Linked DNA regions of Caenorhabditis elegans. The protein of the gene in region 1 interacts with the protein of each later gene in a pairwise test. Each region holds a gene or a part of one and is shown on either strand. Other genes may lie near its edges. The genes, in order: pqn-71, Y69H2.3, sgt-1 and W03G1.5.

Region 1 (7,850 bases):
AAAATATGCATTTCTCTATCAACTTTCATAGATGCGAATAAAAATTCAAAACAATTTTGAGGTACTTTTCAAAAAAAATGTTCAAGAAGAATTGAAATATTCTGAAAACATCGAAAAATCGGATAGCGGAGAGCGTAGGCACATTCGGGCGGGAATTTAAATATTCACTTTTTTTTTACAAAATTGAAAAATCAAATCAAAAATAATTTATCTGAAAACCCAAATGATTTGCGTAAACATTTGTTTGGTTAAGATTTGGCAGACCATGTCAAGATGGAGTTAGAAATTGGTTCAAGAAGGAAATGGAAGAAAAATATGTAAAAGGATGGAGAAAAATGCATAAAAATGTCAACGACTTCAAGAATTGGTTGACATGTTCTTTTCAAATATGTTTGCCAAAATAACCATTAAAATGTTTTTGTATTCCCAAAAAAGGACAAGGAAGAATTTGGAATTGGCACTAGAATAGGTGAGGTCGACAAAAAAAATCGAAAAAGTGTCACAGTTTGAATTTAAATAATCTGGAAAATAAATAATCTGAGAGTATTCAATAAGAAAAACAGAAGGGAGGTCACTTTGAACAGCGAAACACGAAACTTTTCGGATTTTTAAATTTTTTTACAATTCAAAAAATGCCCCAAAAAACGGAGCAACTTATTCAAGAACTAGTTTTTTATATTCAAAAGCTTGATCTCTCTCATAGAATACGAATTCGTTGTCTTCTTATTTAGTTTAAATTCCAAAAGTTTCAATTCAAGTGTGCTGCTCCCCTTCAAATTTATTTCCTTGTCCCTCCGTTATCCTCTTACCAGAACTACTTGAAAAAGTCACTCGAATTCTAGTTTTTCACAAAAACACCCCGGGGTTCTGCAAAACGATTTATGGGAATTTTTGAAAAGACGGACCACCATTTGAGAGAGGAGAAACAAAAAAAGTTCTGCTGAACAAATTGGGGAAATGGGTGGGAGTGGACGCTTTTTTGGAGGGAAACAACTACATAAAAAACAACTAAAATTCAGCTTAACTGGGAGTTGATTGCTCCATTTTTTTGCGGGACATTAAAATTTAAAGACTCGAATTTCGCGAAAAATTGGAAATTCCTTCGAATTTACGAGAAATAAGTAAAGTGCTGAAATATTTATCCCCAGAAAAAAAAGTCCAAAATCACCCGGCACACATTCAAAAGTAAAAACTCAATTTTGCTCCGCTCATAGAAATTCGGTGAAACGCGGAAAAGTATTGTGACTAGTTGCAGAGTCTCAACAAGTCATTGACTTTCACTAATTGAGTAAACGAGAACAAAACACATTGTAAGACAAAGAAAAGGCCCCGTCACATTTTTTGAAAGGTGTACTTTTTTTTGGGATTTTGTTTTCGAAACAATTATGTAGATGTCTTGAAAATATGAAAAGCTACTTGTTGATGAATAATTTATGTAAATTTCAGAAAAATATGTCGCTCTCAATTCGAAGTCTATGTAACAGAAAAATTGCAAAAAATAGTTTTAAAAGCAAAAAATAATTTGAAATTTTCATTTAAAAAATCGAAAATTTCCTACCTAAAAATATACATTTCAAAATTCAAAAAAATTACTAATAAACTTTCCCCTTCTTTTCATTGAAAAGTGCGAAAAAAGTTGGACATCTATTTATATATATGTAGCGATATGCATTTGAAGGGGTAACTTTTTGTCTCTTTTTCTCAATGCACTTTTCACCTCTTCTTGCTCTCACTCAACTACTACGTAGTAGCAGAACAAACAACAGGGACCAAGTGGGTCGAGTTTTCGATTTTTCCTTGATTCTGAAAACAAAAATTCGAAAAATACTAATCAATTATAAATTTTAAAACATTTTCGGTCATCTTCTATAAAATCTTATCAACATAATTTCAATACAACAATAGTTTTCTTAATATTTCTAATTGTTTTTCCGGGTCTCGAAATGATTATTCCTGAAAAACAGAGCTCGAAACTACAGTACTCTTTAAAGGTACATCCACCTTTTTTCCATTCAACAAAAAATGTTGTGTGAATACCAGGTACCAAATTTATTAGCTTCAGCACTTTTGAAAGGACCCATTTAACAAAAAAACTGGTAGTGAGAAACATTTATTCATCATTTCCTAGATTTACAGAAATACAATCTTCAAGAATTTTACTTCTTCAAACAACACTGCCCGGAGACATTTCCGCACGGCGAATAGTTTTGTTGACATCCGCACTGACTATTTTGCATTGGTTGACATGCCATTTGGGCCGGCTGATTACAGGATTGATTGCAGGATGTCGAGCAAGCTGGAGCACACTGTTGGGAGGCCGTGGTTCTAGTTTGGCACTGCTGTTGGCATTGTTGCTGGCACTGGGGAACACATTGGGAGGTCTGTGGGGAGGCTTGCACGTAGATGGTTATGGTTTGAGTGTTGCTGTTCTGGCAGGAGTTCTGACACTGCTGGCAGTTGGTGGAAGTTTGTTGAGAGCATTGTGGAGCACATTGTTGTTGGCATTGAGTTTGTTGGTAAGGGTTGTAGTAGTTTTGGTTTTGGTACTGGTTCTGGTTGTACTGATTTTGGATCTGGTTTGGATTTTGGTACTGATTTTGGTTCTGGTACTGATTTCCTTGCTGATTGTACCCTCCATACTGCATTTGATTATACGGATCCTGATTATTGTACATCATATTTCCTGTGGACCCACATTCCTGCTGGCACTGCTGCTGACAAATTGGCTGGCACTGTTGCGCGGTCTGCTGTTGAGTACACTGCTGCATGCATCGGTTCTCACACTCTGGAAGACAACTTTGCGACGCTGGAATTGGTGTGGAAGTCATCGGATTGCAAGACGATGTCTGGCAGGATTGCTGACACGTTGGCTGGCATTGAGTGTTGGTGTTAGATTGGCACTGTTGACTGCAGGACTGTTGACAAGCAGGCATGCATTGAGACGTCTGCAATTGATATTGCTGGCTGCTGGCGCAAGAGCATGGAGTTGAAGGTTGGCAGGAGCAGCTGTATTGTTGTGAGGCCTGCTGGCAGGAGCAGGTCGGCTGAACCGATTGAGCACATCCGCAGGAGGCTTGACGGGTTTCGCGGATTGAGGAGGCCTGAAATCAAATTGAGTTGAGAAACACGTCGTTAATTGGAATGCTTCTATCAATTTTAAACGTCACTACGAGATTTTTATCGGCCCACATTAAAACAGGGTCGGTCTACTTCCATATACGGGAATACAGATATTACTCTAAAAAAGGAGATTTTTCAGTTAATGATGTCGAAAATTGAAATTCGAAGAGGTTCAAAAACAGTCGTTAAAGCGCCAATTCACATTTCAAGTAGTTTTGTTAACACGAAATTGCGAAAAGAAAATACAATTATTAGGCTTTCTCTCAGCACTTAGAAATTATAAATTTTCAAATTCCTTACAATTAGTTTAAAATTGAAAAACTAACCTGAGCCACAGCCAAAGCAACTGCAAACAATATAATCACACAACGCATCGCTCAATGGGATTCTGTGAGTATACCCCGTGTAATTCTTGCCACTTTTATACTTTTTCATGTTGTTTACCAACCTACACTTTTGTTTCTAGTTAGACACGTTTTTTTTTCTTGAAAATCCTAATCAAAAGTTTACAATGTTTGCATTTTTCATTGACCCGATAAATCAACTTATCTTTTGTTTGTTTGTTGAGCATGATGGAGGAAAACTGGTTCTTAATCAGAGTTATTCATGTTTGTTCAGTTATTTTTGAAATAAATATATAAGTTTGAAGTAAAACAGAATTAAATTCTCAATTTATTATTCATTCCCCATAATCGTTTATTTGCATTACACTCTCCTCTGGCCAGCGCTATCTCTGTTCCTCTCAATTGTGTATACCTCCGTGAAGCATGTCTCTCGTGGCCGAATGGTCTAGTGGTATGATTCTCGCTTTGGGTGCGAGAGGTCCCGGGTTCAATCCCCGGTTCGGCCCATTCCTTTTGAAAAAAATTGAGAAAGAAACAATTTTTCAACAATGAAAAAAAAAACAAAAAAATCAAGCCACCTAGGGGACTCGAACCCCTGACCTTAAGATTAAAAGTCTCACGCTCTACCAACTGAGCTAAGGAGGCCACGGCGGCGGTGTTAGAATTGGTCTTTAGAAAACGGAATCGGGAGAGAATCGAGAGGCGCGCCTGGTGGTCAACTAGTACATCTAGTTGGCATGGAAAATTTTAATGTTTTCAAACATAAATATGTATTAATTGAACAAATATTTGTGAAAAATTTTGCATAAAAAATTGCTGTATAAGGTGTTACAACGGCTTTAAAGTTTAGTTTTCAATTATTTTTAATTGAAAATTTGACGCAAAAATGTTTAATTTCATCTTTCTAGTGTAAAGTTTATATTCAGTAATTTTTTTTCTCGATAACATAACTGAACTGTGTTGTTTCAAATAAAATATCTTCTATTCAGCAGATTTTCAAAACCGAAAAAAAATCCAGAATTTCAACACATCGATGACCAATTTAGTCTCATTTCCTGCCGTCACTTTCCCTCATTCCCGATTTTCTCAGTTTTCATTTCTGTTTCCCCTCCTTAAAAAGCGTCTATTCAAAAGGGATTTCCGTCGATCATAACCAGACGATATCGCTTAAATCGATCTAATAATGTTGGAATGTCCATTCTCCCCCCTCACCCGTTTCCTCACTTCTTTGCCTCCCTGTTGTTCTTGTTTTCTCCCGTATTGTTTTCCTAAATCTCGGACAAAAACTAGAGGCCTAAAACGTGGGCCTGATGAGGCCCTTACTCTCATGTTTCCCCGTGATTTTCGCGGTTTTTGGGCCGATTATTGCGGTTAAGCCCGTATGGAAGACGCCCGTCTCTGAGCCGAATCCAAATGCGAATCTCGAAGTTTTAAAGGGACACTCGAATTTGGCGAAGGTGAGTTTTTTTTTCAGAAATTGTTTTTGTAAATTCTGGTTTCTCTCGTGAAATAGTAGCATTCGTAAAACTTTAATTGAAAAATAAAACGCTCCAGCTGAGGCTCGTGTGTTGAACTAAACATTTTTGGTATATTGAATTTTAAAACAGGGGGACTAACTATAAGATTTAAAGGGATACCGAGAAATCCAGTTTTTTTTAATTTTAAAAGTATTTTAATTCAAACAACTTGGAACAGCTGCTCATGCCTTACTGGTCACACATTTTCACTCAAAAAACAGTAATTGTGGTTAAAACTCTTAAGAGCAGTGACGTCATAAATTGTCTTACACGGAAGGTGTCAAAATTTAAAAACTTTTGAAGCTTTTGAAATTCGGTTTCGACAATGTTCAGGCACCGGTAGAAAACCTGGTAATTTTTCGATTGAGTAAGACAGTTTGAAAAACTTCCAAAAGTCGTCAAGAACCCTATATATACCAAGTTAAGTAACCAAAAAATTTCCAAAAATGTCTTTGTAGAAGTTTTCCAACGTTTCTCAATTTCCGCGAAGTTTTGAGGTCTCTTAAATATCTGTAATGATTTGTTCAAAACATTATTTCTCAAATCAAACACTTCTATATTTGAAGTAAAAATACATAAACTTTTTCTATTCCAGCGTGCTCAACCGAACTACTACACACGTCCCGAGCAGGTCTCGATTCCGGAATACCGTCCACCTCGTCAACGTCTTCCACCGTTACCATCTCCAAAGATCTCATATCAACAAGTTCCTCCACATCAACTAACATCTGGTGGAAGCTTCCGACCATTCGCTTGGGTTGGCCCTCAACCAAAACCCGGCAGCCCTCAAACCAGTTACTATGAGAATTCTCCAAACAAGGGCCAATTTCCAAAGGGATTACCTCCATTGCCACCAAATTGGCAGCAGTATCCAGTGCAGATGATATGGATTCCAGACACGCCAGGACAAACTACTGGAGCGTACCCGTATTATCCGGGACCCGCTGGACCGCCCGTGCCAGTTTCAACAGGAAGCTATGGCCTGTATGGACCAACTGTGACAACCGAGAAGCCAATGGAACCGTCGGTCAATCCGGAAACGTATACAGGTATTTAAGGAAGAAGCGAGCTAAAATAATTGAAAGAATTTTTCAGGAACCGTCGCTCACAGTCCCTCTGCCAACCCTATCACCACTACTATACCTTACGAGCCCCCAAATCCATATGGAGGACAGACTCAGGTGTCCCCGTCTTCAAATTCCTATCCGGATTCAACAGTCTCCACTACTTCGAGCAACACGGAATCCTATGAACAGCCATCTACATCTCCCTCAGAAAGGCCTAGATCATCAACTCGGGATTTTGAAAATGGAAATGGAAAAACTGTAAATCCAACCATCCGCCCAGGACCTCAAGAGCTTAGTGGTGGAATTGGAACTTCTTCCAAGCCTAGACTGCCTAATGACGCCGACTACACTAGAGATGTAGAGACTGGAAGCTCTGAAGTTACAACTCCGTTTGGTAGAAACACGGAAAGCTCTACTCCTTCTAAAAGCCCAGGATCAACAAGTTCATCCGACACCACTCCGTCTTCTAACGAAAATGGGAAAGAGACAACTCCATTCGAGATGACCAAAAATCCATTCAACGATCTTAAAACCATCCGACCAATATATCTAGGTTCAAGTTCTGACGAAGAAGATGACGAACCGCTAGAGGATATCAGCAAGGCAACCGATTCCCCACATTCTTCAGAGAAATCTCAGATTCCTGGATCACCAGGTTCACAGATAAAGAATCCATTGAAACCCTCTTCAACGGAATCGGAAACTATTGGACCGGAATCCTCCGAGTCAGAAGACGACGGAGAGCGAAGCACGCCAACTCCACAAGAGGAGGAAGAGGAAATGATGAGGAACTTCTTCCCAAGACCTGTCAGTGCTCAAGCATATCAGCCGCCAGGACATCAGCCGGAAGATTTTACGAGTCATATCAACGTGAATTTCAAGAGACCAAAAGGCAAAGGAGGATGTGTAACACCGCCGTGCAGAGGAGTGGATACTGATAAGGTGAGGTTATAAGGGCTTTTGAACATTCTCTAAATTTGAAATATTTCCAGATATCCCTCTACAAGCCAGACCGTGACAATGAGGACTCGAGCCCGACACTCGTGATCAGTAACGCTGCAAAAGACGATGCATCGCGTGCCGGATACAAACCAGCTCCACCACTGATCAATCCATACATCCCTCCACCACCGCCCCCGCATCCTGAAGAAGAGTATGCCACGCCGTACACCGTTCCCCCCGGCAAACAACCATTCCCACCATTTGGAGAAGGACCTGCGACTCCGCCAAGAAGCCTGATCCCGGCGCATAATTTCCCTCCTCCAAGTACTTTCCCACCTGATGAGGATTACCACGAGACTACGGTAAGTTTTGGCACAACTACATATCTTCTAGCTCAGATCTACTAAAATTACAAATTTTCAGACAGATACCGTCCGTCCAACTGCTCAGACTATTTCTACTAGATTTACTGCCCCGACAACTACCACAACATCAAAGCCCGTTGAATCCACAACTACCGAGGAAGATACTCCGGAGCATGTTCCACCTGCAATTGTTCATATGACCGCGTCGACGCCAAGTGGGAAGAACCCTCCAACCTATATTCCACTGCATCCAGAGACATCCCAGTCCACACCAACTCCAACAACATCTGCTAGATCCACGAGACCGACAGCTTCAGTCACAAGACGACCCGAGTTCCCAACTAGAAATACTCCACCATTTGGAGGAAACGTGCCAAATGGGCCGTCTTCTACGGTACCACCTGCCAGCAATCCAACCACTGAAGGATACTTCACACAAGTCTTCACTGACCGAGAGAAGACAAATTCCGGAGAGTCTGTAGTGACCACCACAGC
Region 2 (8,589 bases), 3.2 Mb from region 1:
AATTTGACCTGATATTTGGGTATAAAATGTGCAGATTTTGGTATTTTGTGTTCTAATTTTTACTACGGTTTTTCGAACTTTTTATATATAAAAGGCCGGATTTTTTGTTTTTCTTTTGTTAAAATGTCTGAAATTTTCAATTTCCTGTGTAAAATTGTCCAAAAACCCAAATTTTCAAGTTTTGGTTTTCCTTATAAAAACTGTCTGAAATTTTAAATTTCTCATCTTAAAGTGCCTGAAATTAGAATTTTTTAATTTTCCTGTGTTAAAGTTTCCAAAATTTTAAATTTACTATGTAAAATATCTGAAGTTTTTATCGTAATTTTTTCATATTAAAAAGTCTGGAAATTTAAATTTCCTACGTAATTATCCTACGTAAATTTATTGAAATTTCTTATTTCCTATTGAAAAATGTCAAAATTTTCTAATTTCCTATCTAAAATGTCTGTAAATTTGAACTAACTTTATAAAAAAGCAGGAAATTCCAAATTTCCTTCTAGAAAATTTTTGAAATTCCTGGAAAACATAGGAAATGAAAATTGAAAAAATCTAAATAAAATAAACGAAAAAAAATAAAGTGAATTACAGGTTTCTAGTGTAAAAAACTCAGCTTTTTCTAAATTCCAATTTAAAAATGTCTGAAATTTTAGAATTCTATTTGAAAACTGTCCAAACTGCATATTTTCCTTTTTACTCCGACTGACCAACTCCCTCTAGAAACAATCCATTTTGAATTTCCCGCCAAAAATATTTTCTCCAAAAATTTGAATTTCCGCCAAAAAAATTTTTCTCAGAAAATTTGAATTTTCCGCCAAATTATTTTTCTCCAAAAATTTGAATTTCCGCCAAAAAAAATTTTCTCAGAAAATTTGAATTTTCCGCCAAAAAAAATTTTCACCAAAAATTTTTTTTTTCAGAAAAATTGAATTTCCCACCAAAGTATTATTTCTCAGAAAGTTTGAATTTCCCGCCAAAACATTTTCCAAGGGTCTCACCACAAAAAGAGCCAAACCCCGCCAATACAATATTTTTCAAAATTAACATCAAAAATCCCAAATTTCTTGCAGAAAATGTTTATTTAATCAGCTTTTCATCTTTGATTTCAGCCAGCTTTTTCACATGAAATCATATAAACAAATGGTGACACAGTGCAAATATTTACGCTTCTAAATATATAAAATCATAGAAAATTTGATGAGAAAATCGAGTTTTTGACCTTCAAAAAGTGCTAAATTTGGCAAAAAATAGTCGATTTCAAACGAAAATTTTGTAGAAAAATTTAAAAATTCCTTCATAAAAATGGTTGAAATTAGAATTTTCCTATTCAAAAATGTCTGAAATTTCCAATTACCAATGTAAAAACGTCTGAAATTTTAATTTTCTAATTGCAAAATGTCAGAAATTTCAGTTTTTCTATTGAACTTTTCATTTCCTATAACCCGAAACATCCAAAAAACAATAAATTCTGCCAAAAACCGCCAAATTTTCAGTTTTTTTGCCGGTTTTTTCTCCAAAAGTAGTCCCAAAACCCCATTTTCTCGAAAATTTTACATTTTTCTCAAATTTTCTATCAGAAAATTCAATTTTCCCGCCAAACCCCCCTACAAATCCCAATCTCCACACATCATTTACAAAAAAAAACGTGTAAAAAATGTGTGGGAGATCAAAAAATAAAAGATTTGGCGGGTTGGGGGATTAACCCTTCAATTTCCGTTTTTTCTAGTCAACTCGCGCGTGTTCATTTAATCCAAAAATCCACTACAACTTTGTGAATTTCGTTAGATTTTCGTTTATTTTTTTGTTGGTTCGAAATATTGATTTTGTCTCGTCATTTAGTCGTATAATTTTAGTACTCAAGTGTAGTTTGTAGTTTGTAGTGAAACTGCCCATGCTGTCCCATTTCGGTTTGATCTACCCCCCAGATCTACAAGAATTGCGGGAATTTAGACGCAGAGTTCTCAAATGATTTTCAAAAACTTGCAGAAATTTCAAATTTCCTATACAAAAATATCTGAAAAACTGATTTTCCTGTAGAAAAACGTCTGAAAAATCGATTTTTATATGTAAAAAATTTCTGAAATTTCGAATTTCCTATATAAAAATCTCTAAACATTTCACATTTCTTATGTAAAAATGTTTGAAAAAGTGATATTCCAGTAGAAAAATGGCAGAAATTTCAAATTTTCTATGTAAAAATGCATGAAATTTCAAACTGTTATGAAAAAATATCCTAAAAATATGATTTTCCAGTATAAAATGTCCTAAATTTCAAATTTTTTGTATAGAAATCTGAAATATTGAATTTCTCATGTGAAAATATCTGAAAAATTGATTTTCTAGCAGAAAATGCCGGAAATTTTGAATTTTTTAGTACAAAAACGTAAAAAATTTGAACTTCCTATATAAAAAATTCTTGAAGTTTCAGATTTCATGTTTAAAAATGTCTAGAAAATTGATTTTCCTGTAAAAAAAACGTTTGAACTTTCAAATTTTCTATGTAAAAATGTCTAAAATTTCCATTTATTCATTTAAAAGTGGCCGAAATCCTGAATTTCACAGTTCAAAATACCGGAAAAATACATTTTTCAGTCGAAACATGTCTCAAATTTTGAATTTTTTTATATAAAAAATTTCTGAAAAAAGTGATTTTCCAGTAGAAAAATGGCAGAAATTCTGAATTTCCTATGTAAAAATTCCTGAAATTTCGAATTTTCAGTGTAAAAATATTTGAAATTTTGAGTTTCCTGTAAAATAATGTCTCAAAATTTGATTTGTCTATATAAAAAATGCCGTAAATTTCCAATTTCCTATGTAAAAATATCTGAAAAGTTGATTTTTCCTATGTAAAATTGTCTGAAATTCATAGATTTTTTCTATAATTTTTTTTTGGAAAAAACAGTTCAAACTACATATTTAAACTTGAAAACATATCAAAAAATATTTACTTTGAACAATAGTTTTTTCCCGAAAATTCCATGTTTTTTTGCAATATTTGCATATTGTTTTCAAGTTTTCTGTAACTTCGAATGTTGTTTTTCTTTAAACTCCCCATTTTTTCCCAGCAATTTCTGCAAAATTTCCAATCTTTTGACCCCAAAAATCATCAAAACACAGACATTTTTTTTTGTTTACTTTCTCCTTTTCTCTCTCAAAACATAATGTTTTCCGCACTTTTGATGTCTGATTTCTCGATTTTCTGGTTTTTTTATTATAATGTTTTTCCTGAAACTTTATGTTTTGGTTCGCATAAAAATGCTATAAAATGGCGTGATTTTATAGTTTTCCAGAGTTTCCGAGTTTCGGAGCGATGCAGTATATTGTGCTGCTCAGCGTTCTGCTCATCGGAGCAAACGCTCAACTTTCAGCGACAAGAGGTAAGTTTTTCCAACCTAAAAGTGTACCTAAACCCCTTTCAGACCAAGAATGCAAAGAAAACGAGAGCTTCCAGACGTGTGGCACGGCTTGCGAGCCGACTTGCGGGCTTCCGACTCCGGTGAGCAGATTTTGTTGTCAAATTCCGGCTTACAACGTGGTTTTTGCAGACTTTTTGCACACTGCAATGCGTCATGGGATGTCAGTGTAACAGTGGATTCTTCCGCAGAACTTCGGATAATCGTTGTGTTGAGCAGAAGGACTGCAATGTTGCGGCGAATGAGACGATTCCAATTCCACCACCAGGTTAGAAGGGGACACAGACTAAAATTTGGGCCGGGCTACGCAGTCTCGGAATCTGAAATTTTGGGTCCGCTAGTACATCAGAGTTTCCAGACAAGGCCCAATCTCTAAGGCCGCACTGGCCCTACAGACAATGGCCCGGAGTTCGAAACGGGTATCTAGACCCAGAGCTTGGGGGTATCAGCCTCCTGACTTTGTGGGCGCCAAGCCCAGAGTTCAAGGGTCCCAGGCCCAGAGTTCGGGGGTACCTGCCCCAAATTTTGGGGATACCGAAAGACTAAATTTTGGGCCGGGCTGCACACGGAGTCCTGGAATCTGATGTTTTGGAGCGCGGGGTCCGCTTGAAAATCAGATCTTCCTGACAAGGCCCATTCTCTAAGGCATCTCAGGCCCTACAGACACTGGCCCGGAGTTCGAAACGGGTATCTAGACCCAGGTACCAGCCCCCAGAGTTCATGGATCTTAGGCCCAGAGTTCAGGGGTGCCAGGCCCAAAGTTCAGAGGTCCCCAGCCCAGAGTTCAGGGATACCAGCTCCACAGTTCAGGGTCCCCAGCCACAGAGTTCATGGGTTCCAGGCCCAGATTTCGTGGGTACCTGGCCCAGAGCTCGGGGACTGCCGGACCCAGAGTTAAAGAATACCAAGCCTTGAGCTCCACGGTAACAAGCCCAGAGCTCCACGGTACCGAGCCCAGATCGTGGGTACCAGTGCCAGACTTCAAGGGTAACAAGCCCAGAGTTAATGGGTCACAGGCCCAGAGTTCATGGGTACCAAGCTCAGAGCTTGGGGTACCGAGCCCAGATCGTGGGTACCAGCGCCAGACTTCAAGGGTGCCAAGCACAAACCTACCAGGCATCCTAAAGCCTCCAAACCAAGACCCCCGACCCCAAACCCCTCTAACCCCCCACCAATTTCCAGCCACCAACCTCACATGCCCAGTCAACGAGGTATCCAACGAGTGCCACAACCCATGCACCGAGAAGAAGTGCCCACAAAAGAATGCTCCACAGGTGAACTGCTTGATGGCCTGCCAAGTCGGATGCTCCTGCATGGACGGATTCGTCAGAAACAACCAAGGAGTGTGTGTCAAGGAGGCCGAGTGCCCAGCGATTGGTAAGTACTCTAAAAATTGGACGAAAAAATGCACCAGAATTGCGCCACCGCACTGCAACTTTCCAGGCTCTCAAACCTGCGGAACCAACGAGGAGCCCAACCAGTGTCACAACGCGTGCTTCGAGAAAAAGTGTCCGGTTAAGCCCCAGCCACTGGTAAACTGTATGGAGAAATGCGACATCGGATGTTCCTGCAAAAAGGGATTCCTCCGGAACCGCCAGGGACAGTGTGTGAACCCTACCGAGTGTCCGGCTACTGGTGGGTACCGTTTTAAAGGAAACTAGTTAGAGCCAGTGATTCTAGGCTCCACACTGACTTGCTCCAAGAATGAGGAGCCCAATGACTGTCACAATTCGTGCTCCGAGGCAAAATGTCCTGTCAATCCACAGCCATTTGTTAGGTGCATGATGAGGTGCGAAAAAGCATGCTCTTGCAAGAAGGGACTCGTTAGGAACCGGCAGGGACAGTGTGTGAAGCTTGCAGAGTGCCCACCGACTGGTTAGTAGGGCTGAAGCCTAGTTCTAGTGGCTTTAGGGGTCTCGAGTGAATTTTCGGGCAAAAAGTCATGTTAAATAGGCTTCTGGCAAAGTTTTGATGAAAATATCTAAGAAAATTGAGCTGAGCTCAGTTTTAGAGAGTTTTAGCAAGTTTGGTGTCTTGAAACGAATTTTTGCGGCATTTTTGACTCCGCTGTTGATTTTTAGAACAATTTTGCGATTATGAGCAGGTTTGCATCAAAATTGATGTAAATCTAGGCCTTTCAACAAAAGTTTTAGTTTTTGGACCAAAATTTCGGTGCAAAAAACGACTTGACCCCTTTTTTCGACAAATCCGGAGCAATTTTCCTATTTTGGGGCAGTTTTGAGCAGAATTTTTTGATTTTCCCCTACAAATGTGGTTTCCAGGCAAGACTGACACAAACCCATGTGCCTTGGTACTCTGCAAGCCCGGTCACCGATGCACCATGTCAACTGGCCAGGCAACTTGTGTGCCAGGTATCATTTTTTCTGTCCGCGGGCGCTGGTTTGGTGCGGTTCTTTGCTAAAATTCTGAGAATTTGGTGTCCTGAAATGGACTTGGATGGAATTTTGACAAATTTGTGGATTTTCGGAACGATTTTCACATTTTGGGACAGTTTTGGACCAATTTTATGGGGATATTGGCTTTTGACATACTTTTTGGCAGTTTTTTGACGAAAACGTTTTTTTGGCACACATTTTGGTTTAACGTGCGAGTTTCAACAAATCTGCCAACTTTCGGCACATTTTTGAATCAATTTTGAAGGTTTGGGGTTGTTTTTGACGCAAAAATCGGGATTTTAGCTTGTTTTCATGCCAAAATCATGATGCAACGACGTAATGACTTGACGCAATCCTGGTGCATACCCTGCGACTCAAAATATACGAATTTTCCGACTCTAACATATAAATTGTTTCCAGGCAGCACTGACGAGAACCCATGCAACTTGGTGGACTGCCGTACCGGTCACCAATGCTCCATGTCAACTGGCAAGCCGACTTGTGTACCAGGTATCGCTTTAGGATTTGGGGAAATCGGGAACTTTCTGTTGAATTCGGCTAGATTTTCAGTACTTTTATTCCTATCCTTGAGTTTTCTAACACCCAAAAAATTAAAGTGAGAACCGCGCCAGAGACCCCACCAACCGGGATCACGTGCGCCAACGTCAGATGCGGATTCAAGGGAGGTTGTGGAATGGTTGAGCCCGTCGGATGCGTGGGTTGCAAGCGTCAGCCACAGTGTTTGGAGGAGGACTGTGAGTTTTTAGGCAGAAAAAAATTCAGTTAAAATCGTCGAAATTTTCAGATTGCCGCGCCCAGAACTGTCCCTACAACGAGGAATGCGTTTTAGTCCAGGTCACGTGTATCCGGGCTCCATGGTAGGGCTTTAGTCCGGAATTTTTTTTTGTTGCAGAAAAAAAGTTTCAATTTCAGTAACCCAATCCCAACATGCCGTCCAAAGGACTTGAGACTCATCAAGCCTCTTATCCAGCCCCGTGAGCGCCGTCAGGCCGGGCCAAGCTGTATGACGGCCCGTTGTGGGACCCCGGCCGGGTGCGCTATGGTCAGGCCAAGTGGATGTATTGGTTCAACTGTGGAGAAGGGTTGTGAGCTCATGCCGATGTGTATTCATGTGAATGGTAGGTGACTGAGAGCCACGATATGTCGGGCGCTGCAACTTAACATGGTCCTGCGGACCTGCGATGTGTCGGCTGCTTTCTCTATCCTTGAAGCATCTGAATATAGATACCTTGGAAGTGTCCGACGCTAGAAAATCCGTAAAATTTCCAGCTTGCGCCTCCACGTCCTGCCTCGTCGGATCCCAATGTGTCCTCCACCAGGTTCAATGCTTCACGCAACCATGGTAGATCAAATTCCCCGCTTCTTTCCACTAAATTATTGTTTCAGCGACCCGATTGCACAATGTGAAGCTCCTATCAAAAAGCCAATCAACAGACGGTGCAGATCAAATGAGAAGTTTGAACCCTGCAAGACTGTCTGCTCAGACACCAAGTGTAATGAAGAGCCGGTAAGTGGGCGGGATTTGAGCAAAATTAGTTTTTGAAAAATTTTTTGAAATCAACGAATCAGAAGCTTTCAAATAAGTATAAACATGACTAGGTTCTGCAAAAAAAATTGTTTTTGGAAATTTTGTTTTCGCAATTTTCCAATTTTTTCAAGGGGCTCAAAATCCAGTCATAATTATACTTTTTCGAAAGCTCTCAGCTTGCCTAACTCAAAAATTTTGGATTTCCAACCTACAACCGAAAATTTCCAGAGATTCTGCCCCCAGGTGTGCACCGGCGGCGGCTGTGTCTGCCAGGAGGGCTTTTTCCGCGACAATTCCGGCAAATGTGTCACCCAAAACGATTGTGACGCCCAGAAGCCAAAGCTTTACTAAAATTTGAAAATTTAAATATTTTCCGGGGGATTTTCTGTAAAAATCGATATTTTTTTCTGTTTCTATTCTTTGGTTGAACATTCCAGTCTAATAAAAAATTTATATTTTCACTATCTTTTTGTTGATTTTTTTGTTGAGAACTTTTGAAATTTCAGGCTGAAAAAGTCTGAAAATTTTCAGATTATTCGGACACCCCGTCCCCACTGTTCCCAGGCAATGGCTCTGACATTAACAGTGAGTTTTTAGGAATTTTAGCCCAAGAATTTTAAATTTTTAGTCCAAATCACCCCATGCTCCACGATGAAATGCTCCGCTGGCACCGAATGCATGGAAGTGCAGAAAAATTGCACAGAGCCCCCGTGGTGAGCTTGAGAGCTAGAATTTTTTTTTTGAAACTCTCATAATTTTTGCATTTTCAGCGGTTTCCAAGGAGTCTGTGTGAACACTACAGAGGTCCCAGTCGGCGGTTGCGCCACTATGAGATGCTCCGCAGGAACCACCTGCCAGGAAGCCCTCGTCAAGTGTGCCAAGGCTCCGTGGTAACCCTTTAAGCTAGCTTTGCCTGAAAATCCAGCAAATTTCCAGCCCAAGCCACGCGGCGTGCATCCCAAACTCCAACGAGACTTTGAGCAGCTGCGCCGCCGTGACTTGCCCAGTTGGGGAGATTTGCACGGAGACTTTGGTTCAGTGCTTCGTGGAGCCTTGGTAAGTAGAGAAGAAGCTGGATTTGAGCACAGCGCCATTTGGTCATTTTCCAGTCCGAAATATGTTTCCTGTTTCCTGTGTTGCACCCAGCACTGTAGCCAATCAATCTTTTGTTGGGTGCCAGGCAGTGAGTAGCCAATCGTGGGCCGGAGCCCTGGCAGGCTACTAGACCTGTGGG
Region 3 (7,931 bases), on another chromosome or scaffold:
TAAATGGTGGAAAATCGCCTCCAAACCCAGTGCAACGAGGGAGAAAGATTGGAAGAAAAAACATAGAAGAGGCAAAAAGAATGCGAAATAGCAGAAGAAGATTAGCCGGAGACGGACGGACGGACGGGTGGACGAATGGACAGCCGAACTGATGAGAAGAGGAAACTCAAACAATGTGGGTGAAGGAGATGGAAGAATGAGGAGATGGAGGCATTATTTTTGGTAGAGTTCTAGCTATAAAAGTGGGCAAGGTCATACATTTTAAAGTATCTGTGATGAAGTTGCAAACGGCTGCAAGTCAAGGGAGAATCCTTATGACAAAGATGAACTTTTTCTCACTTGAAAAGTAGAATTACAAAAATGATTTAGGGTTTCCACTTGAATTTTCTCCAAAATGAGAAACCACGCCAGCTAATTTTTTTTTGGCATTTTAAAGCAAAAACTACGGTATGGGACTATAAACAAAATTCTAATTACACTTTTTCAAAATTATGAAGTGCCAAGTCGTTTGGGGATGCGAAAACCCCAGAGAAGATGGTCCACAGAGTCCATCAAAACATTCACAACTTTTCCACATGACTCTTGAAACTTTTTATTTTGAAATCCGAACCCTTGAGGTGTCATCATGACGTAAATAATAATTCGGCGATGGATGGAGATATGAAAAAATGAAGAAAGTTAAGAAAACGGAGAGAGGGACAGTTGGCAACATTCGACCACCTGTTCACTTTTCTAAATTGTTTTCATTTTCTTCTTGGTCTTCGCTTTTTCCTCTTTGCACTTTTTGCCCAATAGAAAAGGATCTAGATAACTCAACTTTCAGTTCACAAACGAAAGAAAAACAAAATCGAGAATTCAGAATTATTATTCATCTTTTTATGAATCTATGATTATTTGTCAGATGGTCAAATGTCATTCAACGCCAATAAAAAGCATTTTTACAGGACAAAGACTCGTTGTATGTAATACAAAAGTCATTTAAAATTGAAATAAAATAGATAACATCAATGTTAAAAGTCTTCACATTTTCAGAAAACTAATCTCGTGTTTAAATTTTCAAATCCAACTAAATCCCAATCAGACTAAAAGGATGTTTTTGAGCTTTGACTCACCATTATCCGAAAATGTTACTTTCATCTCGTGGGGAAAAGTAGAAAAGAAATTATTAATAATTTGCACAGATATCCAAATTTAGAAACGAATTATAGCCTTGAGCAGGTGCAGAATTGCTTTTTTGGTTATTTTCTAAAACTCTAAGCCGATTTGTAATGATCGGATGTTTGGAGATTGAAAAATCTGGAGTCAATAAGCAAATATGTGTTTGTTTAAACATTAAAAACATATGTGAAGAAAAAAAGAGCGTTTTTCTTCTGCCAAAAGGTGAACGAGCCGGAAATAGTGATTTTCTTCCAATTTCGTAGAGCAATTTACGTCACAATGACGAGGGACACACAAAAACAAGAAAAGAAACGGAAATTTACCTTTTTTGAGTCCGGCAGGCGGTTGAGAGTGTGGAGTCGCAGGTTTAGCTCCAAATGACCAAGAAACCTGGAAAAATGAGATTTAGAGGCTATTTTTAGAATTATTGCGGTGAAAAGCGGAAATTTTTAATTTTAGTTTGCAATTTTTCCTCAAAAATACATTTCTGTGAAATACGAACAAGTGTGCGCTTTAAAGTTAATTTATTTCATAGTTTTTTTGCGAAAAAATGTTTCTTATACCAAAAATAACAATATAAACACATAAATATTAACGAATCGTGAGAAAAAGTAGAAAAAATTGATAAAAAATTCTGCAGGAGCGAGAGATTGAAAATACTGTACTTTTTAAAGGCGCACACTTGTTTGTTATCTACGAAACACTGTCGTGTCGATACCGAGAACCGCATTTACGGGTGTGCGCCTTTAAAAATTACTGTAACTTAAAACTTTTGTGGTATTTTTATCGACTTTTCATGGTTTTTATGTCTTCATATCGTTTTTTTTTGATAATTTTTATTAAAAAAACAAATATATTACCTGCTGTGGTGCACGAACAGTTCTTGTTGATGACGTGCTGGCATGATCTTTGCGAGATCTCTCGCTCTTCAGACATCCACGACTTGAAGAGGAACCGTCAGTTTCAGCCCCGGTTTTGTCTGAAAAAAATAAATTATTGATTTTTATTCAATCTGAATGAAAAATTCGAATTCTTACCATCATTATCCAGTGAAACATCAGATTCGTCAGAAGTGTTATCGAAGAGTCGTCGCGCAGGAGCATCTGGCACATTAACGCCATTATTTGCTGGGTTTCCAAAATTTGAAGATGATGGAATGTCTTTGTTCTGTTCTTCCGATTGAGACATGTTGTAGAATGGTGGAAGACGAAGAAGATGATAAGAGTGACAGTTTAATTACTGAAAATGTGCGAAATTTTATATAGTTTTATTTATTTAGGAAACAGATAGTGAAAGTTTGGGAGGAGTTGAACAGTATAAAATAAGAATGACAGGCAGAATGGCTGGGTAAATATTATTCAAATACAAGTATTTTCAAAATTCCGCAAATTTGAACAAGTTTTCATTTAAAAAACACATTTCGAACGGAAAATTTGGGTAAAAGAAAGCTTGGAACATAGTGAAAAAGGACTTTGCGAACAAATAAATTAAAATTTGCTTGATTTCAATTTGTTTTTTTCATTTTTTACAGAAACAACAAATTTCACAGCAGCGTTCTCCTGACTATCACACTTTTTTTTTGAAACAAAAACGAATAAAACAAGCTTGAAATAAAACTTTTGGTACCCAGACGTCTCTGGCCCCAAAAAATTTAAGTTGACGGGTGTCGACAGAGGGAAATGAGTGGCTTTTGGAAGGAGACCTGGGGCCACCAGTCAGCTTCTCGCTTCTTTTTTTTTCTCTAGCACTCTCTCAACTTTACAATACACTCTACGCGCTGCTGCAACTTTTCTGTCAAGTTGTCTGCCGTCTCTTCAGTTGAACTTGGTTTACTTTCGTGGCGAGACACATCAAAGTGACGGCCGACATGTGCCTTTGAGGCTGATGAAATTATTCCCGCAATTTCCAGAAATTTTTGCACTGATTCTGAAATAAAATGACGTTGCAATCTTTAATTTTACTCTTCGTTGTTCAAAAACTTTTCAATTTTATTCTCGTTACAATATTTCACTCTTCATTGACCAAATTTCGCAAATAGAGCGCTTAAATTCAGATTTTAAGTTAAGCATTTAAAATTAATACTCTTTTTTTTTAATAATAATAATAATTTATTACGCTCGCTGGGAGACGTGAAGGAATATAGAATACAAAAGTTATCATTGTTCGCTCGAACTAGAATTGGTGCAGTCGGGCAATCGTTTCCATTCCATTAGAATGTTGTCCTTGTCCTTGCGTTGTCCTTGCGTAGACTCCCCCATAGTGGGCGAGCGATTCCCGAGTGAAAATAATCACGGAATGCCATTTTTAAGCGATGCCATTTTCTATTTCTTGAACTATATATTTTTAAGAATATTTTAATCTGCGCTTTATCATGGATTTTCAATTCAACTTTATATTACTTTTCTAACTTCAATATAAAATTATTTAATAAATATATTTTTATTTTTAAGAAAATGTCCGAGGAGATCAAGCCTTCTGCTCCAGATGCGCCGACTGCTTCGCCAATTGTGACCAGAGACGAGCAAAATTTGGTTGTCTCATTCCTTCAGTTTATCCGCCAGAAGGTTTCACAAAATCAGGCCACTGCCGAGCAAGCGGAAGCTCTTGAAGGTTTTTTCCTATTTATTTCTATAAATTTAGCTTAAGATATATTAAAATTTCAGTTGCAATTCAATGTCTCGAACACTCGTTTGGTCTTGATGATGCCTCATACGCTTTCCAACCATCACGCCCAATTCTCGAACTTTTCAAGAGCGCCGAAGGACTTCCAGAGGGAGAATCTGCTCTTCCAACACCGAGCGATAGTGATATTTCTCAAGCTAACAAGCTTAAAGAAGAAGGAAACGATTTAATGAAAGCCTCCCAATTTGAAGCTGCTGTTCAAAAGTACAATGCCGCCATCAAGCTCAACAGAGATCCAGTCTACTTCTGTAACCGCGCTGCTGCTTATTGCCGCCTGGAACAATATGATTTGGCCATCCAAGATTGTCGTACAGCTCTTGCCCTTGATCCATCTTACTCAAAAGCTTGGGGAAGAATGGGTCTTGCATATTCTTGCCAAAACAGATATGAGCATGCCGCTGAGGCATACAAGAAGGCTTTGGAGCTTGAACCAAATCAAGAGAGTTACAAGAATAATTTGAAAATTGCTGAAGACAAATTGAAGGAGCTGGAAAGCTCGCGACCGGCACCAGGTGCCAATCCATTGGCTGGGCTTTTGGGAGCCATGGGAGGAGGACCGGGAGGAATGCCGGCTATGCCAGGAATGCCAAACATGCAAAACCTTATGAACGAGCCAGGACTTATGCAAGCTGCTTCACAGATGATGAGCGATCCAGCACTTTCTGATATGGTAAGTATCAAATTTTCGGGAATAAAAGATTTAATTGAAATGGCAATGCACGTGGCCGTCAAAATTAATTGTTTTTCATTATTATTGCTTGTTTTTTGATGATGTATGCTCTAAAATATTGAATTTTTCAGTTCAACAACATGATGTCTGGAAATGGATCAATCGCTGATTTGATGGCTGCTGGCCAGCAAATGGCTGCTCGCATGCAAGAGACCAATCCAGAACTTATTGAAAATCTTCGACGCCAATTCGGCCCCGGAGCCGATGGAGGAGCACCACCACCAAACCCACCACAATAGATAATCTCTTCCGCCAATCTCCTTCCGCATCACGAATTTCCATTTCGTTATCTCTCTCTCTCTCTCTTTCCCCTTCTCTCGTCTTTACTTTCTGCTCTCATGTGATTTGAAAAAGCCGAAGTCGCTTATGGTTACTCGTTTTTTTTAGTTTCTCTCGCAGAATTTCCCCTTACAATGATGATGTTATAATCGCCCCCGATTCAAGCCTTATCGAAATATTGTTTTTAATTAGATGGTCATGTTTTAACTACCAACAAAAAATTGGGTCAATTTTCTTTTTTTTCACGAATAATAAATATTGTCGAAATATTCTTTCCATCACAGACACACTGGTTGCAAACGCGCTCCAACACGAAATTATCGATTTGCACCCAAACGAAAGATAGCGCGGGAGTACTCACATTTTCTTTATTTTTGATTTTTTTGTTGAAATATTTTAGTATTAAATTAAACAATTTAAATTGTAAAAAACCTCAAATTTGAAAATAAATTCAGAATGCAACGCCACGAAAGGATTCGATTTTTCATAACTGAACAATGTCGTAATCTGGATCCAACGTATAGAAATTATGTAGGAATTTAATTTTCTGTCAATCTAAATTCTTTTAAAAGTTATTTTCAGATGTACCCGAAACAAATTCTTCTCGGTGACGTTCCTCTACCACTTCTCCCTAATTCTTCACTGACGTTTCGAGTCAATTCAGCTGTAAGTAGAAAATTTATTGCGTGACGAGCATTATTGTGTTTTAAAAACTCTAAAAATGATCAAATAAATTTAATTTTTTTTAGGAAAAAATCTGCTTCCGTATTCGACTTTCGATTGATGACAGCCAGGAACCATTGAATATTGGAATTCCATTATCACAAGTTGAAAGTGTTTCAATTAAAGATCATAGTGCGAAACATCCAGAACCTGCTCTTCTTTTTTTACTTAAGAAAGGAGCTTTAGAGAGATTTATTCAGGTACACTATAATTTTTTCGATTTTCGCACGACAAATTTTTGTAAAATGAAAGAAGGTGTGCGCCTTTGAAAAGAGTACTGTAATTTCAAATTCTCGTTTATGCAGAATTTTTATCGATTTCCATAGATTTTCACTAACAACTTGTGTTTGAAAAAACACATGAACTCGTCAATTCACTGCAAAAAAATTCGAAAAAATTGAAGATTCCGTAGCAACGAAAGTTTGAAGTTACAGTATTATTTAAAGGCGCACACCAGTTTTCACTTAACGGACAATTTTCGTGTCGAGACCAGACCCCGTATAAAACGAATTATTTCAGGTCTGTAATCCACTATTGGGCGAACTTCACACATATCATGGACGAAAACGTAAAATGCTGACATATCTAACAGTAATTCTCGGAATGGATCCACACTTGGAGCAACCGAATCCAGTTTATTGCCGTGTTTCATTAATGGCTAACAAATTCACATTCCCATTTGGAACAGCGAAGAAAATTTTATTAAAAGATGTGAGTTTTGATTTACCGCGTTTTCTAAAAAAAACACCAACAAAAACGTTTTTTCCCGGGGAAAAAAGACGAAAAATGAGTTTTATTCATCTGAAAATACATGAAAAATTAGATTTTTTAAATTAAAGATTTCCCAAAAAAATTATCAGAAAATTTCCAATTTTTCCATAAGAAAACGCAAAGATGTATATTTTTCAACTAAAATATTGCGATTTTTCCAAGAAAAAAAACTATTAAAAATAAATACAATCCAATTTTCCAGTTACCAATAATGTGGCAAGAAGTCTTGGATAAACAATACGATCGTCGTCTGAAAACTGGAATTCATCATGATAGAGAACGAATGGCAGAGATGGATGATGAAGCATGGGATTGGCTTATGTCATTTCTAAATGTTAAATGGGACAAATGTCCCAGTGGTGGACGTTGGTTCGTTAGAGATAAGGATGGTACGTTTTTTTTTTGCTCCGAAAACATTAATAGCCAGTTGTGAAATTCGGTGATTTCGAATAAAAATACGGTACTCGGTCTCAACACGACTAGAACTTAAAAGCTACCGTACCCAGAAGTATTTTGCAATTTCCTAAAATGTGGCAATATTAATTTTTTCATAGAAATACCAAGTTTTTTTAGCACTATAAATCTTGAAAAATTTAAGGAAAAATTGTGGAATACTTGTGAGTTTTGTAGCTGCAAAGTTTCTTGAAAATCGAAAAATTAAAACTACCATAACTACAATGCAATCTAATTTCAGAACTCGAAACTTCAGTCAACGAGCATAATGAGTAAGTTTCCTATATTTTACAACTAAAATTAACTCTGAATTTCCAGAAATCTTGCAATCAAACGAGAAGCTTCACCACAAGATGATCTACTGGCTAAACCAATGAAGCAAATAAAATATTCCGATTCAGATGTTGGTTCTCCAAATTCTATATCTTCGGAATCTTCAGCTTCTATTATGACACGATAAAACACTCGTTTAAAAATCATTTGTTTTCAACCCCGCTAGAACACTTTTTACTATCAGTTTTCCATCTAATTCTTCACCAAAAAATCAAAAATCGATACTCACAGCTGCTCCTTTACAATTTCAGCCGTTGAGTTCTCATCATGACTGGAAATGTATCATTTGGCTGAGTCTATTCAGCGACATTAACCATTTCAACTTTTTTGGCATCAAATGTTTTATAATTTTATTCTTATTTTACTGCACTTTATTGTCATTAATGGCTCAATAAAAATGTTAATAATCAAGTTTTAAACACTGAGACATGCCAGGAGTAAACATTTTCAGATACAGTACCCACAAGAACGGTAGACTCGAAATTTGAATTTTTCAGAGGAAAACAGTAGTTTCACGAGCTGAAAACAAATTTTTTGTGTTGATAAAAGTCCAAAAGCATTTCTGTTCAGAAATTAATTCCAAAATTAATTTATCGTAGACTCAGAATCCGTTGTAGGAGTCTATGACTCCAGGCTCGTCTCTCGGACTCTGAATATCAAAAGACGAAGTGAAGAAGCTTATTGAGATGGAGGAGAAGCCGAAGGAACTTTGGAAGAACTCGTTTTGGCAATTTGCATTTCTATTAACTATTGAATAAATGATTATATGTACATAATATCAACTAGGACCCTTTGGGTCCTG
Region 4 (7,869 bases), on another chromosome or scaffold:
TTTTTTCTGAACTTTATATACTAATAACTATGTAATCAAGAGTATGAATGTGTAATCGTTCAAAATGGAACATTTATTGGCTTGAGGTTGCAGTTGTCAAATGGGACACAATTAATAGGAAACGTATGGTGATATGTTTGTGTATATATTGATCCGTATATAGAAAGTATCGGTATATAGGCACTTTATAGTTGTTTTAACTTCCCAATCCTCAAATTCACGTAGAAAAAACATAATCCTCACATCGTCGACGCTCTGTGCGCGGATCGTCCACGCTCTGTACGCGCCCCGTGCGTGATCCGTGCGCGCATCCTCCGCAGATCGCGGCCGCGGCCGAGATTTCAACTCTGCCAAATTTTTCAAGCTGTGTTTTTTCAGTTTTTTTTTCGACTTTACACATTTTCTTTATTTTTTATTAAATTTCAATTAAATAATAATGAAAAAATTTGCAGAAAGTGCATAAATGCTGAGACGAATCACATCTTCAGAGGATTTAAACGAATTAGTTCATCGGTAAGATTATAAAAACGATTTCCTCGAAATGAGTAATAATTTGATAACAACCAGGTCTTTGACCTCTTTTATACATAGCAATTATTTATAAACATAATTTGATATTTTCAGAAAAGCAGCAAAGGTATGGAGATGAATTGGATTCACCACCTCCGCACGGCCTATGCACGAGGGGCCTCTGAAAAGAAGATTTTCGGAGTTGTTTAATTTCCCTGATTCCTGTAAGTTTTTTTTTTCTTTTTCAAATGAACATGAAAAATGTTTCAATGAGTGAAATTAACTTTTTTATTTTTCAGATCCATCAAAAGAACTTCAGGAACTCCAACAAAGGAAGAAGAGAACTTGCTGCACAACGGAAAAATTTTTAATTTTGAAGTTTTTAAATTTTTAAAGCTTTTCACTATAATAAAGTTAAATCTAAATATACTCAGTATTCCACATTGCCAATGTATTTGATAAAATAATGAAGGGATGGGGAACGAGCCGTGACAAAATTTGTATCAAATGCGCGGGGCGCGCGCAGAGAGTGCGCCGGGCGTTCGAGACATTATTACTAGCGCGCTCCGTCGGCGCGCCCGCTGCGAAACGTGCGCGCGCCAGGAGTAGCAAACTGCCGAGTAGTAACATGTATATGTATCTCATATAACATGAGCACAGATTATGCAACGGGTAAACAAAGCTAGAAAAATCGAAGCTCAAACAAGTAATTGGAATAGAAGTCCGATGTTCAAAAGCTTGTTACAAATGTTTTACTGCACCATAAAAATCTGATAAAAATGATGGTAAGTTTAACAATATTAGTAGATTGAGAAACTTCGGCTTTAAATTTTCATATGCATAGTTTTTAAAAATCATTTCGTTTTTGAGTTAGCATCCAAATTACAGTTCAACTCTACCACGGTCAAATTTGTTTAAAAGTTTTTTTCAGTTTTTTTCTACAAAATTCCCTAAAAATTCACTCAACAACACTAAAAATTGTTCTTTTTCAGAATATTGGTTTCGAAGAGTTTCAGAAAAACAATTTTTGACCAAAAAAAAGGATGGCTGAAAAAAAAAAGGAAAAAATAAATAAAAAGTTGTCTAAATTTGTTGAAAACTGGTAATTCAGGTATGCTGAATTCAGAAAATCTTGGTTTAACCCATCAAAAACTATTAAAAGGTACCAAAATTGGGCTATTTATGTTGTTAAAATTCACAATTTTGAAACTCCTCTAAAATGGTTAATTTTGTTGTTAGAAGACTCAAAATTGATTTCCGAACACTAAAAAGTGTCCTTTTTCAATTTTTTAATGGTTTCGAACATTTTCAGAAAACATTTTTTCTGTCGAAAAAAGCCTTGGAACACCAGTATTACAGCATTATTACAAGTACGTTTGACCGATGTTTGTCTGCTAGGTACACATGCAAACAATTTTGAACCTACGAAGTAGACTGAAATTTATATAACACTGCCACTAAATTAACATCTTCATATCGAAATTTGTTACTAATAAATAGCAACCAACATCCAACTTCACTTTAGTCAATTCGTCATATTTCAATTTTCCATTACTCCGATTTCATATTTTGCAACCTCTAAAGCATAAACCACACCGAATACTACAAACTCTGCGTGTCTCAAACAAAAGCAAACTACACACTCATTGTGTCAATTCCTCTCTCTCTCTCTCTCTCTCTCTCAAATTGTTCGTCGATCAACAGAAAGTGGTCGAGATGTCTTCGCCTTTTGGAAGCGATCAGTTGGCCTTTTGGGGAAGCCTAGGAGTCTGGTGGAAATTGGAAAAAAACAGACGGAAAGGAACTCATGTTTGTTCAGTTGCCTAGGCAATTGCCTTCCTGGAAGAATCAATGTTCTCTTTTTTTTATTTCACCTGAAAATCTGAAAAAAAAACAAAAAACATAACACGATTTTTTTATTTATTTATTTACAACTTTATTGATCACAAATAAATATACATTATGCACAGTATAATAAGCATCAGAATTAAGAGTTTATGGGGAGAACGAACGATGTCCATTATGATGATGGTGATGGCAGTGACCGCCACGACGATGTGGAGGCCAGAATGGTGGTGGTGGTGGGCATGGTGGCCAGAATGGTGGAAAGTGATGATGTCCATGATGCGGTGGGAATGGACGGCATCCATGATGATGATGGTGGTGGTGGCCGTGACGAGATGGAGAACGTCCATCATGGTGATGATGGTGTGGTGGTCCGTGGTGTCCATGACGCCCTGGGCAGTGTGGTGGCCCGTGACGTCCTCCGTGCCCGTGTCCTCTAGGAGAGTGGGAACGGGATCCATGTCTTCCATGGCGTCCTGGACAATGTGGTGGGCCGTGGCGTCCTCCGTGACCATGACGACCTCCTGGAGATCCGGAGCGGGATCCATGCCTTCCGTGGCCTCCATGACGACCTCCACGATGATGCCCTGAGCCTCCGTGACCATGACGACCACCTGGAGATCCGGAGCGTGATCCATGTCCTCCGTGGCCTCCATGACCATGACGACCTCGTGGAGATCCGGAGCACGATCCATGCCTTCCGTGGCCTCCATGACGACCTCCACGATGATGCCCTGAGCCTCCGTGACCATGACGACCACCTGGAGATCCGGAGCGTGATCCATGTCCTCCGTGGCCTCCATGACCATGACGACCTCCTGGAGATCCAGAACGGGATCCATGGCGTCCACCGTGTCCACGACGTCCTCCCGGTGACCCCGATCTTCCACGATGCTCAACACCTTCGGACTTTTGCTTCTTCAGCTGCTTCAACTCTTCTTTCTTTCCTTGCTTCTCGGGCTCCTCATGTCTTCCGGGAGATCGTGATTCAGAAGATGATGATGACGAGCTGGATCCTGAGCGGCCACCACGTCCTCCACGTCTTCCACGAGATGGAGATCGGGAAGATCCAGAAGAAGAAGAGGAACTTCCAGAACGCTCACCTTTCTTCTTGCGATCATTTTCGTCATCGCTGCTTTCCGATCCTGACGAAGACGACTCGGATTCCGATCTTCCATGAGACACCTTCGAGAATGAGGAGCTGCTGCTGCGACGATCATCCTCATCGTCTTCGCTCTTCAGATCCTTCTTCAGACCCTTCAGATCCTTCTCACCAGTTCCCTCAGCGTACAGCTTCACCACAAACCTCGAGAACTTGATCGCCTCCTTCAGATCCTCGGCTGTCTGCAGGAAAATCTGATCCTTCTCCCGATCGATCCAGAAAATGTTGGCAAAGTCGACCTTGAACTCGGCGAGCTTCTTCTTGAGCTTCTCGAGCAATCCGGCGACCTTCTCATACTTGATAGAGAATAGATGAGCCTGTTTCGAATCTTTAGCAGTAAGTTTGAAATAAACTTCGCGCCCCGGGCGCTCGCGGCGGTGGTGATGATGATGTCCGTGAGCCATCAGTAGCGACTCAATATGACAAAATAACTGCATCCGCTCTCGCTTTTTATACTCGGCCACTTGTTTTTCGTGAGATCAGCGGCAAAATGGGTGGAGTCACTGTGAGAGTAAGACGGCTAGAGCAAATACGAGTTAGAGTTTTTGGCGCTGAACACTTGCGCAACCTCACTAGTGTAGTGGAGAAAGCACGTGTTTTTTTTTGGGGGGGGGGGGGAAAGGATTATTTGTGGCTGGCGGGAAAACAACTTTTGAAAGAGATCTTGATCATTCATACCAAAAAAAGGCGGGGTATCATTGGATAAGAAGAGCATACGAAACAAAAACTTAAATTCGAGGGATTAGTAGAGAGGAGAGAGGAATATTCAAAAAATATTACACGATTGGGAAAAATTCGAAAAAAACAGTTTCGAAAACAACTTGGAACAATAGAAAATAAGAATAATAATAATAAGAATAATGATAACGGGATTGATATTCTACACACACACACAAAAACCCAGGAAGACGAGAATTTGGGCGAAAATTAGGGGGAAAATTTAAGAAAAAGGAAAACAAGAATATTTATAATAGGAATTATTCGATTTTCGCCATTTGAAGAATCTTCTCGCACACCTTCTTGTACATGAACGCGTCACCTTTCAGACGCTTTCTGCGGATTCCGACCTGAAATTTTAATGGATTATTTTTTGGGTCAGGTAATGGGAATTTTTATTGGGTAAAAATGGATTTTTTGGCTATTTTTGTTTTTCTGGCATGTTTTCAGTTTTTGAAAATCGCACATACATTTTTTAGTTTGTGTATTCTGTGTTTTCTGGTTTTTTTGGCAAAAAATACAATTTTTCCGTTTTTTTTTTGCTGAAAATCACTAAAATTCAACTTTTAAAAAATTATGAGAAGGTGTACAATTTTCCAAAATATTAAGTTTTTCAAAATAACGTTTCAAAATTACACAATTTTTAAAATTACACAAAGCTTTTTCGTGTTTTTGGCAAAAAATGTTTTAATTTCTTTCGGAAAAAAAATGTTTTCTTTTGGAATCAACCCTACTTTTTGCCGAGCTTTTCACAGTTTTTAGATTATTTTTTTGCCGTATATTTACGCATTTACTGATAAAATCGCGAATTCATCATTAATTACCAAAATATCAAGTTTTTCAAAATAACGTTTCAAAATTAGACAATTTTTAAAAATGTTTTTTTAAACTCAGATAAACTGGAGTCACGGCAGAGCGACAGAAAATCACTTCTAATCAGCAAAAGCTAGTAAAGCCATAGTTTATCAGCAGAGAACCACTGCTAATTAGCAGGTCATTGCTAATTAGCTAAAAAGCACTGCTAATTAGCAGAAACCCACTGCTAACTAGCAGAACATTGATTATTGATTTTATTTTGTTTTTTCTTCGTCGTATTTCACATATTTCATTTTTTTGACCTTTTTTATTGTATTTTTTGTGTGATATGTTATCAATATGTGTTAATTGTTAATTCCAGTGTGTTTTTCAAAGATTTGTATCATTCCCGGCTAGAAACGGAGGATTATGGCCAGAAATCCAAGAACAACAGTTCGAAGAATTTTGAATTCAGCACCCCGGAGTCTTCTGATTCAAAGCGTGACAATAGTTGCTCTAGGTAAATTTTTTAAATGATTTTATTGGGACTAAATAACTACTTTCAGACCCGACGGACAATAATCATGGTTCTCACCAGCCGGGAAGCAATGGTCCATCAAATTCAAGCACCCAGGCCGATAACTTCGAGACGGAAACAACTGCAGATGAAGAACGACAAAAGGAAGATGGTGTAGAAGATGAACTCGAAGACGAAGAAACAACAGGATTCATTGATGAAGACGGGGAAATTCGTTATCCGGTCGATGAAGTGGGAAATTACGAGATCGATCAAGAAGCTGAAACCGATGAGTCATTTTATTTGGACACTCAACGCGATTCTTCTCTATGCGACGAGCGAAGTCAACTGTGTCGTTCTCTGAGCGATCAAAATCTGAGAACAACTTTTTTCCTCATCACTACTACCAACTCGAAAGCAGCCATTTTGAGATATCTACATTTTCACAATGTTTCACAAGATAGCATTCTCAGAAAATTGCTACTGAATGACTCTCATCTAACACTTGTAGAAGTATGTAATTTATGTGCGCAGAATATCGAACTGTAGGTTTATTATAAAACTAAATTTCTGAAATATATCATTACAGATGCAAATGTGAAGATATGCAAGAGAAATGCCAACTAATTTTCGGAGATCTCAAGAAATGGCTCGAAGTTATATTGAATAGTTTTGCGAATATCATGATGAAGACTAAAACAACTATTTTGGAAGGATATAATAGCTCCAGTCCAATAAATAAGGGTATCTTTAAAAAAAAGCTACTCAGCGAAATGGCAGATAATGAAATGTGGATGCACTTCGAGAGTAGCTTCGACGGAATCAAAGTACATAAAAATGGAAAGTAAGTATCTTAGTTTGATGGCTCTAAAAATTTTAATTGGTTTTCAGTCAGAACATTTGGCCATATAGTTTACTCAATTTGGATCTCGAAGACGTTCATCGAGCTTCTCCCCAGGCCCTCATTTTAGCAGCGTTATTCATCGGGTTCAAAAATCCGACAACGAAAATTCATGATAGACTTACACAATGGATTCTGCTCCAAATGGACGAACATGTCTTCTTCTCAGAGGGAGTGGCCTGGAAAGCGGATCTCACGTGTGCCAATCATGACGATCCAGTGAGATGAAAATTCAGAATTTTGAAAACAAGTGTTTGGTTTCAGGCACGACGAATCGTATACAATCAGTGTGGACTCCGATCATCAGGTTCTTGCAACTTTTGCTTAAACCAGGAAACTGAGTGCAAAATCAATGATGAGTATACAACACGTAAGCATCATGAAAACTATTATTAAAAAAATAATCACCTCTTTATAGTACGCGAAAATCTCACCGGATCGTGCCCTTCGACTATGAACGATGGCCTTCGTCAAAGAAACCAGCATTCTCATTTCCACAAGCATGTTTTGTATATGCATCTATGCCCGGTTGACTTGTTTCATTGTTTTGAAGAAGGAATTTTAAGCAATATCAATACAGGTCACTAGTAATGCCCGAATGCTCCCGAAACGTGTTCATTTTTCAGCATTATTCTCCAAAGGGAAATGGAATTTGTTCCCGTCAAAATCGGTGGATTTTTCATCAACACCTTCGCTTCCATCTCGATTTCGTTCGTTGTCCGGCAAAGCTTCACAGTGTACTGGTTCTGAGAAAGCACTGGTAAAAAGATTCGTTCAGCTAATTTCTGCAAAGTGAACACACATTTAGATTTTCGAGTCGATAGTTGTAGCAGCTGCATTTTCCGGTGAACTTGGAGGTGTATCATCGGCTATCATTCTCAGCATTCATGGACTTTATCGTCTTTGCATAGAACCCCAATCAATCACTGACGAGACTCTTCATTTGAAAGTTAGTTTTTATTGTTTTTGCTTGAAAAAAGTAGACCATTCTTTACAGATTGAACAAATCAGCAAATCCATCGAAGTTTTAATTGTGAAACGAGCACCGGAAATGTTGAATGGGATCAAAGTACATGTATGGAAATTGTCGTCAACTAACACCCATTACTATTTTGCAGCAAGTGTTGTACCACCTTGCAAGAATGACTGAGCTGTACGGTAGCTTATTTCCATTGTCAACTCAATGGTTCGAGTACTTCTATCACACTATTCAAAGAACTTTAGTTCCGGAAATTTACAATGGACTGGGCATGAGCATCATGAGAAAGTGAGAAAATTAGAGCACAATAGGGAGCAAGAATGTTTTTACAGAATGTCGGCTCTTCAAGAGATCAAAACCGAAGCTGCATTCCGTCTACACACAAATCACCAGTTTCGAACAGAAGCGAACTTGAAAATGTGCTATGAACTTGGATTATTAAG

What was found.
Region 2: the proteins of pqn-71 (region 1) and Y69H2.3 interact in a two-hybrid assay, tested with the Caenorhabditis elegans proteins (one study listed by BioGRID).
Region 3: the proteins of pqn-71 (region 1) and sgt-1 interact in a two-hybrid assay, tested with the Caenorhabditis elegans proteins (3 studies listed by BioGRID).
Region 4: the proteins of pqn-71 (region 1) and W03G1.5 interact in a two-hybrid assay, tested with the Caenorhabditis elegans proteins (2 studies listed by BioGRID).

What each region holds. Positions count from the first base shown.
Region 1 is NC_003283.11:15,461,345-15,469,194, reverse strand, and holds pqn-71 (Prion-like-(Q/N-rich)-domain-bearing protein), read right to left. Parts: upstream 3,519-7,850; 5' UTR 3,495-3,518; coding exon 3,447-3,494; intron 3,102-3,446; coding exon 2,157-3,101; 3' UTR 2,095-2,156; downstream 1-2,094. Other genes in the region: rocf-1 (ZP domain-containing protein), read left to right, coding at 4,775-4,921, 5,577-6,030, 6,077-6,990, 7,041-7,352, 7,414-7,850.
Region 2 is NC_003283.11:18,658,815-18,667,403, reverse strand, and holds the start of Y69H2.3 (Follistatin-like domain-containing protein), read left to right. Parts: upstream 1-3,277; 5' UTR 3,278-3,307; coding exon 3,308-3,374; intron 3,375-3,416; coding exon 3,417-3,493; intron 3,494-3,542; coding exon 3,543-3,678; intron 3,679-4,592; coding exon 4,593-4,787; intron 4,788-4,853; coding exon 4,854-5,045; intron 5,046-5,090; coding exon 5,091-5,285; intron 5,286-5,692; coding exon 5,693-5,782; intron 5,783-6,226; coding exon 6,227-6,316; intron 6,317-6,423; coding exon of another isoform or gene 6,424-6,561; intron 6,562-6,611; coding exon of another isoform or gene 6,612-6,684; intron 6,685-6,739; coding exon of another isoform or gene 6,740-6,945; intron 6,946-7,096; coding exon of another isoform or gene 7,097-7,169; intron 7,170-7,213; coding exon of another isoform or gene 7,214-7,334; intron 7,335-7,583; coding exon of another isoform or gene 7,584-7,706; exon of another isoform or gene 7,707-7,817; intron 7,818-7,886; coding exon 7,887-7,940; intron 7,941-7,983; coding exon 7,984-8,068; intron 8,069-8,125; coding exon 8,126-8,245; intron 8,246-8,291; coding exon 8,292-8,411; intron 8,412-8,589.
Region 3 is NC_003280.10:4,899,474-4,907,404, reverse strand, and holds sgt-1 (SGTA homodimerization domain-containing protein), read left to right. Parts: upstream 1-3,608; 5' UTR 3,609-3,611; coding exon 3,612-3,768; intron 3,769-3,821; coding exon 3,822-4,510; intron 4,511-4,641; coding exon 4,642-4,809; 3' UTR 4,810-5,117; downstream 5,118-7,931. Other genes in the region: btbd-10 (BTB domain-containing protein), read right to left, coding at 1,482-1,548, 2,019-2,137, 2,196-2,346; R05F9.9 (MSP domain-containing protein), read left to right, coding at 5,306-5,380, 5,432-5,515, 5,599-5,772, 6,092-6,283, 6,546-6,732, 7,038-7,068, 7,115-7,256.
Region 4 is NC_003282.8:502,564-510,432, forward strand, and holds W03G1.5 (PB1 domain-containing protein), read right to left. Parts: upstream 3,922-7,869; coding exon 2,506-3,921; downstream 1-2,505. Other genes in the region: pig-1 (Maternal embryonic leucine zipper kinase), read right to left, coding at 4,495-4,584.